Arabidopsis thaliana: one gene and its partner. The protein of the gene in region 1 interacts with the protein of each later gene in a biochemical or structural test. Each region holds a gene or a part of one and is shown in the gene's direction. Other genes may lie near its edges.

Region 1 (7,850 bases):
TTTAGAAAATGGGAGAAGTTAAGCGGCCAATATGTGAAGATTGATGTAACATTTTCAGCCCCCACCACACACTCAAACCCACAATGGACACATGATGGATAAGATTATAACCCGTTAAGATCTTTTTTTCTCTTTGATCAATCTTCACATGGGTTCTGGTCCTACTTGTATATGAAATGTTACCATACTCTCCTCTTTGTATTATACCCTTCACAAATTTTGTCCATAGGGTTTCCGACAAAAGGGTTTGAATCTGAACTGTTCTGATATTTTTAACCAAGCCTGATAGTGATCGTGATCGCTTGGGATGACCAGTCTGTAGTGGCAGATCCATTTTTGTTACCGGGATCATAATATAACTTTTAAGAGAAAAAAATGTTACTGAATTTGAGTGTAGTGGGGTCATTATATTAATACCAAATTTTACAAATGATGATACTGTTTTTTTTTTTAACAATATTTACATGCAATTAAAAAATATTTAGTTATTCAATCTGAGACGTATCGGCGCTATGCCATTGCTAGTCTATATTTGTTACACCGTTAAACTAGTTACACATTGCTTTTTAGAATATGCAAATGATCAAATGCATGGTTGTTTAAGGTTGGATTTTTATTTTTTTATCCAAAGTTTAAGGTTGTATTTGTGCCCATGATTTGATAGCATACCAAATCGATTGGGTTAACAACTGCTATATATTCTTGCAATATATTTTGTTTATGCATCGTAATGTATAGGGAAGTTATCTGCTAATTAATAATTAGAGTGATTTTTGGAAAACAAAATAGAGACAGAATTAATAAAACCATTTTAAAGAGAGAAAGTTTTGACAAAAAAAAAGCGAGAGAAAGTTTTGATAAATCAACCAAAAATGCATATAACAATGACATGTGATTGCTTTTTAATTTGTTTGTGATTTCTGTACCGATCTCCATGTTCGATTTCATCACTAAATCGGATAAAAGTGTATGTTCTTCTTTAATGTTTTTGCATGAAATATCTTGCAATGCATAAAGACTGAGATTTCTACCATTACAAAAGTGGAAAGAGAACATCTATGTAATATTGGGTCTCTGCATTTGCATTTGGGAACGGTTTTGGCGTTTTCAAATGACAACTCACTCCCACTTATAGTCACTGACACACACAGAAACTTTTAAAAGAACAACCATCACTCCACACACTTATGTGTTCTTCAAATGTTTTATTTATCATTTACTTCAATTATACGCACAAGTTACAACAAGCAAGTTTTTTTGTGCAATATTCTCTTTTATAATCCTGTTTGTCCTATACCAAAACCTAGATTAATCACTGTCAAACCAACATCATAAAATTGTTGGTTAAGTCATATAAACCATTCGTTTCCAATAAGTGCCATAGAAATTGAATATTGAGCATAGTCAGAATATATATTTATGTTTGGTCTGGTTTTGTTTGACAAAGAGAGTATATTCAGGTTTATAATCTAATTATCAAGACAGAGTTATACAGAAGATAGATAAACGATACTAGTGTTACGTTTCTATACAATCTTTTGAAAGTAAACAAAAGAAGCCATGTGGAATCAAAAACATTCGAAGCATGGGAAGATCAAATAATCCAGTGATGGAGCTAGAACGGAACTAAATCAATCATGAAACCTAAATAGTTTTTTAATCTTTCTAGAATCTCTTCTTATCAAAAAATTTCCTTATTTGTATAAAAAGCCTCGGGAAAGTTAACTTCTCATCCCAAACTCATTCCTCAGTTTATCTCTCGACTAGAGAGTGAAGGAAAAATCGAAGGATAATCTGTTTCTTCCAGCACAAGTTAACTTGCAAGGTAGTTTTCTCCCTTCGATTTATACTGTCTTGCTCACTTTCTTAGGCTATTTTTAGGACGATTCATTTTTTTAATTTGTATGTTATTCATCTTTTTAGGGTTCTTGTCACATTTTCGGCCTTAATTTGTATGTGTAAAAATATAAATAGTGAAGTAGATATCATTTTATATCGTCTAGCACTCTAGCTACTAGCTTGATCTGAAACTAGTATATATATAAATTATTTGAATGTCAGCTTTTTTTTGTGAAAGTCACACATCACATGGTAGTTGCATATTTCAAGAACTCAACTGAATTCGATTTAAAATTTCTCCAATCATAATTCATAAAGATATGTATTTCAATTTTTTTAAATAAAAATAGATTTTCCTATTTACCATGAAATTTTTTACTCTTTTTATTTGTTCTCATATAAATAGAGTGATAAACTATTTTACAAAGTTCATTTATGTGGAAATTGATAAAATGACAAGAACATGAAAAAAAGACAAAGATTTTTAGTTGAAATCTGTGATCGATCGAACAGAATCGGTTCAGCTACTGTTTTTGTAATAGAACAACTGTCCATTTTTATACCAAAATGACTAAACCACCCTTAGAAGATGCATGTGTTGTGTGGTACTAAAAACTCAAAAAAGCATTGAAACTTTACACCTTTGTGTCGTTTTCTCAATTTTACCCCCGCTTCATTTGGAATTGTCACTCTCAAAATTGGCGTATTTTCCAGTTCATATCTTCATTCATCTATGGCCCCATAAACCATAACTCTTTGAACCATATTTAATAATGTTACCTGCATGCATATACATTCATATAAAACATGTATTCATTATCATGTTAGATATGTCTAGTCTATTATTTCCCAAAAGAAAGACACCTAAGAGAGCAAGATTCTTGTTATTCATGATAACATTTTTGAAGATTCAAAAAAAATGAGTGATTGATGAATTATTTATGGTCAGCATCTAGTAAAATCATATCGACATATCCAGTCAGCCTTAGTAGAAATGCACCAAAGTGATATAGAGTGGATTTCTCTCGATCCGTGTAGAAATGGACCACCACATTGTCTGTTTAGAATATTATATTTTTTTGTATAAAATTGTAGACATAATCTCTTATTAATAAATATTTAATGCAAGTTAGTTATTTTTAATTTTATGAAAAGAGGTTAACTCCAATATGTACCATACTACTTGAAGAAGTTAAATGACAAAAAAAAATATAAGTAATACTACCATTTCCATATATTGTACTGATATTTCAAACTTTAATCAACTTTCCTTTCTATTTCTCCTTCTTTTTTTATGGTCAAACCCATTCTGTTTATGACTAAACATATGACATATCTAACCGTTATTAATTAGTTCACATATCACATATTTGTATAGTGTTTTCATTTTCAGTAATCAAACCATCCATCTACCACAAAAGAACTTGGTCATGTGTCCATTTTTAGAAATCAATAAAATATTATACCATATATTTATAGTATCTAACTTTAAGAGAATAAATATTTTTATTTGCCGATTCATATACACACACATGCGTGTGGTATCTATGTCTATCCATTAAACTAATTATATATAAACTTATTTTCTGGCCACAATTTTTGTTTCGTGTATAGAGAGAGCTCAAAGATGGAACCAACAGAAAAACCATCGACCAAACCATCTTCTCGGACTCTACCTAGAGACACTCGTGGCTCTCTCGAAGTATTCAACCCGTCAACTCAGCTGACCCGACCCGATAACCCGGTGTTCCGTCCTGAACCACCAGCGTGGCAAAACTTGAGTGATCCACGTGGCACCAGTCCTCAACCCCGACCACAACAAGAACCAGCTCCATCCAACCCTGTTCGGTCTGATCAAGAAATCGCTGTCACGACCTCATGGATGGCTCTGAAAGACCCATCACCGGAGACAATCTCCAAGAAGACGATCACCGCCGAGAAACCACAGAAGTCGGCGGTGGCGGCTGAGCAGAGAGCGGCAGAGTGGGGATTGGTTTTGAAGACCGATACAAAGACGGGAAAGCCACAAGGAGTAGGCGTGAGGAACTCTGGTGGAACTGAGAATGATCCTAACGGGAAAAAGACTACATCGCAGAGAAACTCGCAAAACTCTTGCCGGAGCTCCGGTGAGATGTCGGACGGAGATGTTCCCGGCGGGAGGAGTGGGATTCCAAGAGTATCGGAAGATCTAAAAGATGCGTTGTCGACGTTTCAACAAACGTTTGTGGTCTCAGATGCTACAAAACCTGATTATCCGATTATGTATGCAAGTGCTGGTTTCTTCAATATGACTGGTTACACTTCCAAAGAAGTCGTCGGCAGAAACTGGTAAAAAGTTATTCAAAAAATTTTAGAGCATTTTTTTAATATATAAAATACGTTTCGTTTTCTGTAATAATTACCAAAATTGCAAAGTTTTTTCTAATTAAATATCATAGTTTTGTTTTTAGGTTTATGGTTACTATAAATGTATAAAGATATCTTAAATGACTTAGTAATTCTTTCTAAATTTTCAAAAATTAAACCTAACTTTATTTTATTTTTTTAGAACTTTTCGAAACTGTGTACCAAAATTACAAAGATTAAGTTTTAGGTATGGTTATCCTAAATGATTTAGTAACTCTTACTAAATTTCTAAAAACTTTTTATAAACCTAATTTTTATGTTGTTTTTCCAAACTAATAGCCTTTTATAAACTAAGTTTATTTTTTAATGATAACTTAAAATATTTCTTTTAAATCGAACATTTCTTTGCAAATTCGAAAAATTTCTTACAAAAGTTTCCACCATTTTTTGTTCAATGAATGAATTTTATTTACAAAAAGAAAGAAGAAAAGAACATAATTTGGGTTTTTGTTTTATTGTAGCCGATTTTTACAAGGATCAGGTACAGATGCAGATGAGTTAGCAAAGATAAGAGAGACATTAGCTGCTGGTAACAATTATTGTGGGCGTATATTGAATTACAAGAAAGATGGGACCTCTTTTTGGAATCTTCTCACGATTGCTCCCATTAAAGACGAGAGTGGCAAAGTCCTCAAATTTATCGGGTTAGTCCCTTATTCCTTTTTATTTACTCGTTTCTCTCCTTTATTTCTTTCATTCAAAATGTCACCCTTTTTAATGGGTCTAAGTGTGGACCTGTGATTTGTGTTGCTTTCTCCGCAATAATTCAAAGATTTGTATCACCGACGGATCCTATTGTAGAATAACAAAAGAGAATAATCAATCAGGAAAAAGAAAAGAATTATAGAATCTGATAAAAAAATATGATTTTGAGGAAAAATCAGAAGATACCAATATGTTTTGTTTATTTGGACCAGAATGCAAGTGGAGGTGAGCAAGCACACTGAAGGGGCCAAAGAAAAGGCTTTGAGGCCCAATGGGCTTCCGGAATCTCTGATTCGATACGATGGTATTTACATACTTTCTTTTTCTATTTGTTTTTCCAAATTTTTTTCCATTTATTATGTTTTCTTAAAAATATTTTCAAATTTTGTTTTGTAAAAGCCCGCCAAAAAGATATGGCGACAAACTCAGTGACAGAGCTAGTAGAGGCGGTGAAGAGACCTCGGGCACTAAGCGAATCGACGAATCTCCATCCCTTCATGACAAAATCGGAGAGCGATGAACTTCCGAAAAAACCAGCTCGGCGAATGTCCGAAAATGTTGTTCCGTCAGGCCGAAGAAACTCTGGCGGCGGAAGAAGAAACTCGATGCAGCGAATCAACGAAATTCCCGAGAAAAAATCTAGAAAATCTTCCCTTTCCTTCATGGGGTAATAATCCTTACTAGATCATTTGTTTACCTGACAATTACTTTATAAAAATCGATTTAGTCTTTGATATGATTGTTGTGATACTCTGGTGATAGGATCAAGAAGAAGAGCGAATCTTTGGATGAATCTATAGACGATGGATTTATAGAGTATGGAGAAGAAGACGATGAGATTAGTGATAGGGACGAGAGACCTGAGAGTGTGGATGATAAAGTGAGACAAAAGGAAATGAGAAAGGGTATTGATCTAGCTACTACACTCGAACGTATCGAGAAGAATTTCGTCATCACTGATCCTAGGCTTCCCGATAATCCCATTGTAAGAACAAATGTTTTAGAAAAATGGAAACTTTTTTTGTTATGTTTCATTTCGATTGGTCTGAAAACGTATTGTTTGCTTTGTCCTATGTTTCTAGATTTTTGCATCTGATAGTTTCTTGGAGCTCACGGAATATAGCCGTGAAGAAATTCTTGGAAGAAATTGCAGGTATTACATGAATGTGATCTCAAAATGTCTTTTGAAAATATTTTTGAGCATAGAGCATGTGTTTATAAATTTTGTTTCATGGTTTTAGGTTTCTACAAGGTCCAGAGACTGATCTAACCACAGTGAAGAAGATTCGAAATGCTATTGATAACCAAACCGAAGTGACAGTTCAGCTCATCAACTACACCAAGAGCGGTACTCGATTTTTTCGATATTCTTAGATTAATCTGTCGATCATTGTATAAAGTTTTAAATTTACATTATATTCTCTGTGGCAGGAAAGAAGTTCTGGAACATTTTCCACTTGCAACCTATGCGTGATCAGAAGGTATAATGGTTTACATAGATATCTTGCATTATACGGCACCTTCAAACTAATCCTCAATTTCTTTTGGTTTATGAATTTAAAACTGAAGATGTCTATATTCTTTCTTTGATATGTTGTTGACAGGGAGAAGTACAATACTTTATTGGAGTTCAACTAGACGGGAGCAAGCACGTAGAACCAGTTCGCAATGTCATTGAAGAAACCGCAGTGAAAGAGGGAGAAGACCTGGTCTGGAATCCTAAACTATTGATCTTGATTTAGTATTCGTTTGATAGAAAATCAAGTATTAAACCTTAATCTATATTCTTTAGGTGAAAAAAACAGCTGTGAATATCGATGAAGCGGTTCGAGAACTTCCTGATGCCAACATGGTAAGTGATTGTCTAAGGATCTGAATATGATCATTTTAGATTAAGGTTTATTAGAATATATCTGACAGAATGTTTTATTGTGTCTTGTTTCTGAAGACACCAGAGGATTTATGGGCAAACCACTCAAAGGTTGTTCATTGTAAGCCTCACAGGAAAGATTCACCACCATGGATAGCTATCCAAAAGGTGTTGGAAAGTGGTGAACCGATTGGTTTGAAGCATTTCAAACCGGTGAAACCTTTGGGTTCTGGTGACACAGGAAGGTCTGAAACTCTATCTAATCTAATGAAATAGCTTACAAAAAAAAAGAACATTTCCTTCATTAATCTTATAATATCCCATTTGTGTTTTATCAGTGTGCATCTAGTGGAACTCGTTGGAACAGATCAGTTGTTTGCAATGAAAGCAATGGACAAGGCTGTTATGCTTAACCGAAACAAAGTAATTACAGTAACTTGCACTTCAAGGAATCTTGAGTTTCGCTTTTTATTTGTAAGTTTTGTAGCCACTGATATAATTTTTTGCAGGTACATAGAGCTAGAGCTGAGAGAGAGATCCTAGATTTGCTTGACCATCCTTTTCTTCCTGCACTCTACGCTTCTTTTCAGGTCAAAACCTCTGTTTACACATATATATATATATATATATATATATATATATATGCGTGTCTCTTTGGTCTTTGGTTACTAATGGATCATGTTTTATTCTGCAGACAAAAACACATATATGTCTTATAACAGATTACTATCCAGGAGGAGAACTCTTCATGCTCCTAGATCGACAACCTAGGAAGGTTCTCAAAGAAGATGCTGTAAGGTACAAGTGTTCCTCGCTCGAAAAAGTCTCAAGATTTCTTCACTTAAATATTGAACTAACAAAAACCCTGCATGAACTTTCAGATTCTATGCTGCTCAAGTTGTCGTTGCACTCGAGTATCTTCACTGTCAAGGCAATCCATTCAACCTCTTCTTTAATTACAAAGAAAATTTTGGATGCAAGGAATCTTGACATGATACTAAGTTGATCTTTGTAATTTTTCTTAAATTCA
Region 2 (5,365 bases), on another chromosome or scaffold:
TTTTGGGACCTATCAGATTGTGTTTCTGGCTGTAGACTTTAGAGACAATTAGTGTGTTTTTCTGCAACTTGAAACGCCCCTATATTGCTAGCATTTGTTTACTGGGAGAGTTGACTCAAACCGAAATTATCAATCCTTAAATCCATAACTTTGAACAATATCAAAAATAGTTAAAGTTAAGTTAATTAGAGTTTTTTAATTGCCGCTTGATTACAACTTTTTGGAACACATTCCGGTTTGCAATCTTCAAAACTCTCGAGATATCTAAGAATTTTGTAAATTATGATTTTATATGCATATGGAAGCCTTTAGGATTACCAATCACCTCAGCTTTTGTAAATTACAATATGATTTTATATAAATATTGTAAAAGAGACATTTAAAAAAAAATCCTATATAATGATAATTAAAAATCAGATAACGGTACTAGAAAGTATACGTAGTACATCATAAATTGGTGATACCGTTTTGGTATATAATCAATTTTTATTAGTTTTGATATTTGTAGTCATGCTTGTGGTTTGTGGTAAATCTCATAATGATCATTTTTGTTTTAGTTGGACGAATAAAGGTTGTGGTTGAGAAACAAACACGTATGCTGTGGGATCAATTCGAACCATTCATACGTGATACGTCGACTATAGCAACTAATAAGCATATTTTATTAACTACATTACACAATATTCTTGATTGACAGATACATAGATTTTATGTTTGAATTAATTAATCTTTCGTTATGTTATATTTAACAAAAACAATACACATTATTTGATATGTATTATATGACAAGATACGATTCCATGAATTTTCTAATATACATTACACATAAATTATAGAGCGTACGTCAAATCATAACATAAAATATTACTATATTTAACAAAACCCAACTCGATGGTCTTTGTCAATATCTCCCCATGCAACAAAATACGTACATCCCTCGTGCTTTCTAAGTTTCTATTTTTGTATTTTTGTTCCTCAAGTGAAATCCATATCCACTACTTTTCTAGTTGAAAAAAGTTAGAAGTTAAAATACAAGTAAATCCAGATTCACTTGTCAGCTCAATCCTAACATGTCTTTGAAAATGTGTGTCCGAAAACTTGTCAGCCCATTATTAAGTATGTGAAACAATACTTTAATTTGAAGTAATTAAGAAAAACAATACATTAAATCTACTTTTTTTCTCATGTAAAACTCTTTGACACCATTGGTAAAATCCAATCATTTATCTTCCGATCTTATTGACGATGTCATTAATTTGTTAATTGTATGATGGTTAATAAGTTTATCCAATGTATGTTTTTGTTTAATTTATTTATCCAATGTATTATTTTATTTTAACATACAATGCTAATCAAAATTTTAGTTTAAGTAATTAAGAGAGTCCTTTAAGAATAATAAAAAAATGTTGGTTTATAACAGAGAGTCCTTTAAGAATAATAAAAAAATGTTGGTTTATAACAGAGAGTCCTCAATGCAAATCAGATTGTTTTAAACCTGCACACAATCCAACAAAATCATCTCTTCTTGCTAAAGCTAATCATCTCAATTATCTCACAAGGTTCAACAATCGTATGAATGTGAAGTATATAGCCATACACCCCCATCTGTAATTAACGTGTCCGAACGGATTGTACATTAGAGCACCTCCAATGTATAGGATTCATATAGTTTCTAAAAAAACAAAAAGTATTAATATTTTATTTTTATATCCAAAAAACAAAAAAAAACAACCTATATGAATAATAGAAACGATCCTCCCAATTTTAGAGATTCTCTCTCATCTCTTTTTTAATTTATAATTTTTTTTTGTAATTGTATGAGTTTCTACTAAAAAACTACGGTTGGAGTTGGTTTTAGTTGCTACAAATATAGTAGCAAATGTGTTTTAAATCGGAATCTTAAAAACGTATAGTAGTGCTAAACGTCTACGTACAAAATACGAATATTGAACGTATAAAAAAAAACACTTTCTGAAATCTGCAGGTTAGAAAATTATTTAAGAGATCCAGTTGCAATGTGAGTAGTATACTAGTACTGTTGTATTAATAAGTCCTAATCGAATTAAGACCATATCATTATAATTCCTTTCTTTTGTGGTCACGGGGGTAACATTATTTTTCGATTATTCTCCATTGATTGGCAAAGATTCATTATCCAAATATATAAATAAATCAGTTCACACACACAACAACTGGCCAATGACTCAAACTGGAACCCACTCACATTGATCAGATCATAACACTTTTAGCTTCAGAAAAAAAAAAAAAAACAGCTATCAAACATATCGTCTTGTTACTCTATTTATACCCTAATTCCACATATCTACACACAAGCAATAAAGAGAGAAAAAAATATAAAGCTACCAAAGAGAAAATGGTGACACTAACACCATCTTCTGCTAGTACCCCAAAAACATCTTTTGATTTCATGAAGAATAACAACAGTCACAGCAGTCTCTATGTTTCTTCTTCTTCTTACTTGAGCAGCAAGGAAGATGCTCTTGTCACGACCAAGAAGCTCATGGAACCAAGCAAAACACTAAACATGAGCATTAATCCAAAACAAGAGGAGTTTGGTGATGAGAAGAAAATGGTGAAGAAAGCTCCTGAAGATCCAGAGATTGGTGTGTTTGGAGCTGAGAAGTACTTCAATGGAGACATGGATTCAGACCAAGGTTCTAGTGTTCTGTCTCTGACAAACCCAGAAGTTGAGAGAACCGTCGTCGACTCGAAGCAGAGCGCGAAGAAATCTACTGGTACTCCGAGTGTCCGGTCTGAATCAAGCTGGAATAGTCAGAGCGTGTTGCTTCAGAACAAACTGGTGAATAGCTGCAACAGTTCCTTCAAGGAAAAGAAGAACAGTAATGGTCAGATTCAAAAGGTGACCAATAATAAGAAGAGTTTTCTCGCAAATTTGGGGTGTAAATGCGCATGCTCTGATGGGGATTCTGTAGATGTCGAGGAGAAAACCTCGGTCAAGAGAAGCGCTGATCCGAATATCTCTGTTATCACAATGAGATCTTCTGCGGATATGAACACAGAACTGATCAAGATTCAGAAGCAAGAGGAGTTATCACAGAGGAAGTCTCTTGAAGTTTTTGGATCTCCAGTGGCTATTGAGAAGAAGAGTAGTGTTGTTCAGAAGAAACTACCATTGCCTCCATGGAAATCGAGAACAGAGGAGGACGACACAAAGAGTGAAGGGAGTGATTCAAGCTCGGATCTTTTCGAGATAGAGGGTCTTACAGGGAACCCTAAACCTTTTCTTACGAGGCAAGGAAGTGATCCAGCTTCACCTACGTGTTATGCGCCAAGTGAAGTAAGCGTAGAGTGGAGCATAGTGACAGCAAGTGCAGCAGATTTCTCTGTTATGTCAGAATGTGCAACAAGTCCTGTAAGAAGAAACCGACCTACTCAGATTCCTCGAATCCCTATTACCGCTAAATCAGCACCGCAGAGACGGAAATCGAGTAGCAGCAGCGGAGGGAATGGTTTCTTGATGAGCTGCAAGAGTCATAAATCTGTTATGGTTTCTGGTGATTTAGACAGAAGAAGCAGCATGAACAAGACACAACCGAGTTACGTTCCTAGATTCCCAATGGAGACTACTAAACCTAAGAGTTTCGAAACACGAAGAAGGATCAGCAACAGCTCGATTTCTCACACACAATCATCTCTTCTTTATAGTCAGTGATTGCAAGAAAGTAAAAGAAAAAGATTTCAATCTCTGATCTCTCTTTATCTATAATTTCTACTGAGTGAGAAAGATATGTAAACTTATAATAATGTCTTGTTGAGTCCATGATCAAATCAATTTAAAAGGGTTTCTTAGAGACCTTTTGCACCTAAGAAAAAGTTACTCAAAGAGTGACAAATGATTGGAGAGTGAAAACAAAACATTATGGTCAGTTAAAAACACAGATCTCAAATTCAGCAAAATAAGCAGAGAGACATTCCAAAAATTGGCTCCACCAAGTTTTACCTTTTTTGGATTTAGTCTCAAGACTCAAGAGAGAGAGATATGAGTTTTGTCTTAGCTTGAAAGGGTTAAATCAAACGTACACTAGATTGACAGAAAGAGCTATTAATGAGGAAACTTAAATCAATGAAAGTGTCATATTACCTAACATATCTAAGATCTGGTCCTGAAACTCATCTAAAGGCCATGTATATGTCTGAAATAAAAGTAAGGTAGACAAAACCTTAATTGCTAGTTGACAATATGAGAGAAAAGAACCAAAGTGCCTTACTAAGACAATAAATGCAAAGAAAGATCAAAGATGTTTGTCTCTGTAGCCTACTCATAAGGGAAATGATCGAATTTACCCCAAATGATCTTATCCAGTTCACTGATATTTCTCTGTAAGATATTTCAAAAAGGGCTAATTAGATTTCAAGAAAAGACATAAATGAAACCAAGATGATGACATCAAAGCTAGTATAGCTAGTATGGGCTTAAAACCAAGAAACATACAGATCTTGAAGATAAGTATTGTACCCTTCTCAAAAGATATGAGAAAATAATTGACCACACTATATATAAAAATCTAATCATCTAACTACTTAGTTTTCATATGTGGATGAGAGAAGAACAACAAAAGCAAGAAGACATTTTGTGTTAAGAAAGCAAAACAAGATTACTCATCTTTGAATTCTTTGGTTGGACATTGCCTCAAAGCATCCGCTTGCTCTCTTTCGTCAAGTGAATAAAGGCAAGTTGGTAATGAGATGAGACTCTGATCCCACATGACAAAAAATGGCTGAGAGAAGTTTCTATTTAATTCCATAGAGTTTGTGGTGAAACATTCACTGTCTTGATGTGAAAGGGGTTCGTTCCTCAGGAGCCCACCAAGAGAAGGAGAAGAGTCTTGTGTGGTCGTTTGCTGCATCTCCATTACTTCATGTTACCAAAAGAATACAAAAAAACCCCAAACATAGGTTCAGGAACAGATGATGATTATAGAAATAACAATCTTATATTATCTGACAACAAAGTGGTAACAGTACATCAAAACTAGGATTCTTGACTGTCTCTAGCTATGTGTCAGTTCCTAATATCTTCCACAGAGAGAAGGAAATAATGATCATATGCCAACATAAAGAAAATCAAATCTTTTTAAAGCACCCCTAAGTGTATCATAACATGAGAAAAATAAACCTTTAAAGGAAAGATCACTCGATTTTCACAAAGATAACAATCACAGTGCTCTGCCTCTGATTACCAAGTAACGTTTAATGTTCAATTGCCCCGAGTGAAACCATTACCAGTTATTTCAAGAAGATCATAAACTCTACACTCTTTTTTGAAGAACCCATTGTTTAGATGTCGTAAGTAGTCCAGTTTCGTCTGAAATCTCTGTCTCTC

What was found.
Region 2: the proteins of PHOT1 (region 1) and PKS1 form a complex in vitro, tested with the Arabidopsis thaliana proteins (one study listed by BioGRID).

The regions. Positions count from the first base shown.
Region 1 is NC_003074.8:16,815,091-16,822,940, forward strand, and holds the start of PHOT1 (phototropin 1), read left to right. Parts: upstream 1-1,630; 5' UTR 1,631-1,825; intron 1,826-3,256; exon of another isoform or gene 3,257-3,453; 5' UTR 3,454-3,466; coding exon 3,467-4,167; intron 4,168-4,706; coding exon 4,707-4,889; intron 4,890-5,162; coding exon 5,163-5,254; intron 5,255-5,349; coding exon 5,350-5,617; intron 5,618-5,712; coding exon 5,713-5,935; intron 5,936-6,032; coding exon 6,033-6,103; intron 6,104-6,191; coding exon 6,192-6,298; intron 6,299-6,381; coding exon 6,382-6,431; intron 6,432-6,554; coding exon 6,555-6,659; intron 6,660-6,742; coding exon 6,743-6,802; intron 6,803-6,898; coding exon 6,899-7,065; intron 7,066-7,158; coding exon 7,159-7,243; intron 7,244-7,329; coding exon 7,330-7,410; intron 7,411-7,514; coding exon 7,515-7,618; intron 7,619-7,701; coding exon 7,702-7,751; intron 7,752-7,850. UniProt on the Arabidopsis thaliana protein: Protein kinase that acts as a blue light (BL) photoreceptor in a signal-transduction pathway for photo-induced movements.
Region 2 is NC_003071.7:853,478-858,842, reverse strand, and holds PKS1 (phytochrome kinase substrate 1), read left to right. Parts: upstream 1-2,117; 5' UTR 2,118-2,374; coding exon 2,375-3,694; 3' UTR 3,695-4,766; downstream 4,767-5,365. UniProt on the Arabidopsis thaliana protein: May be responsible for light-regulated cytoplasmic sequestration of phytochromes or may be a negative regulator of phytochrome B signaling. Component of the network that modulates the very low-fluence response (VLFR) branch of phyA signaling.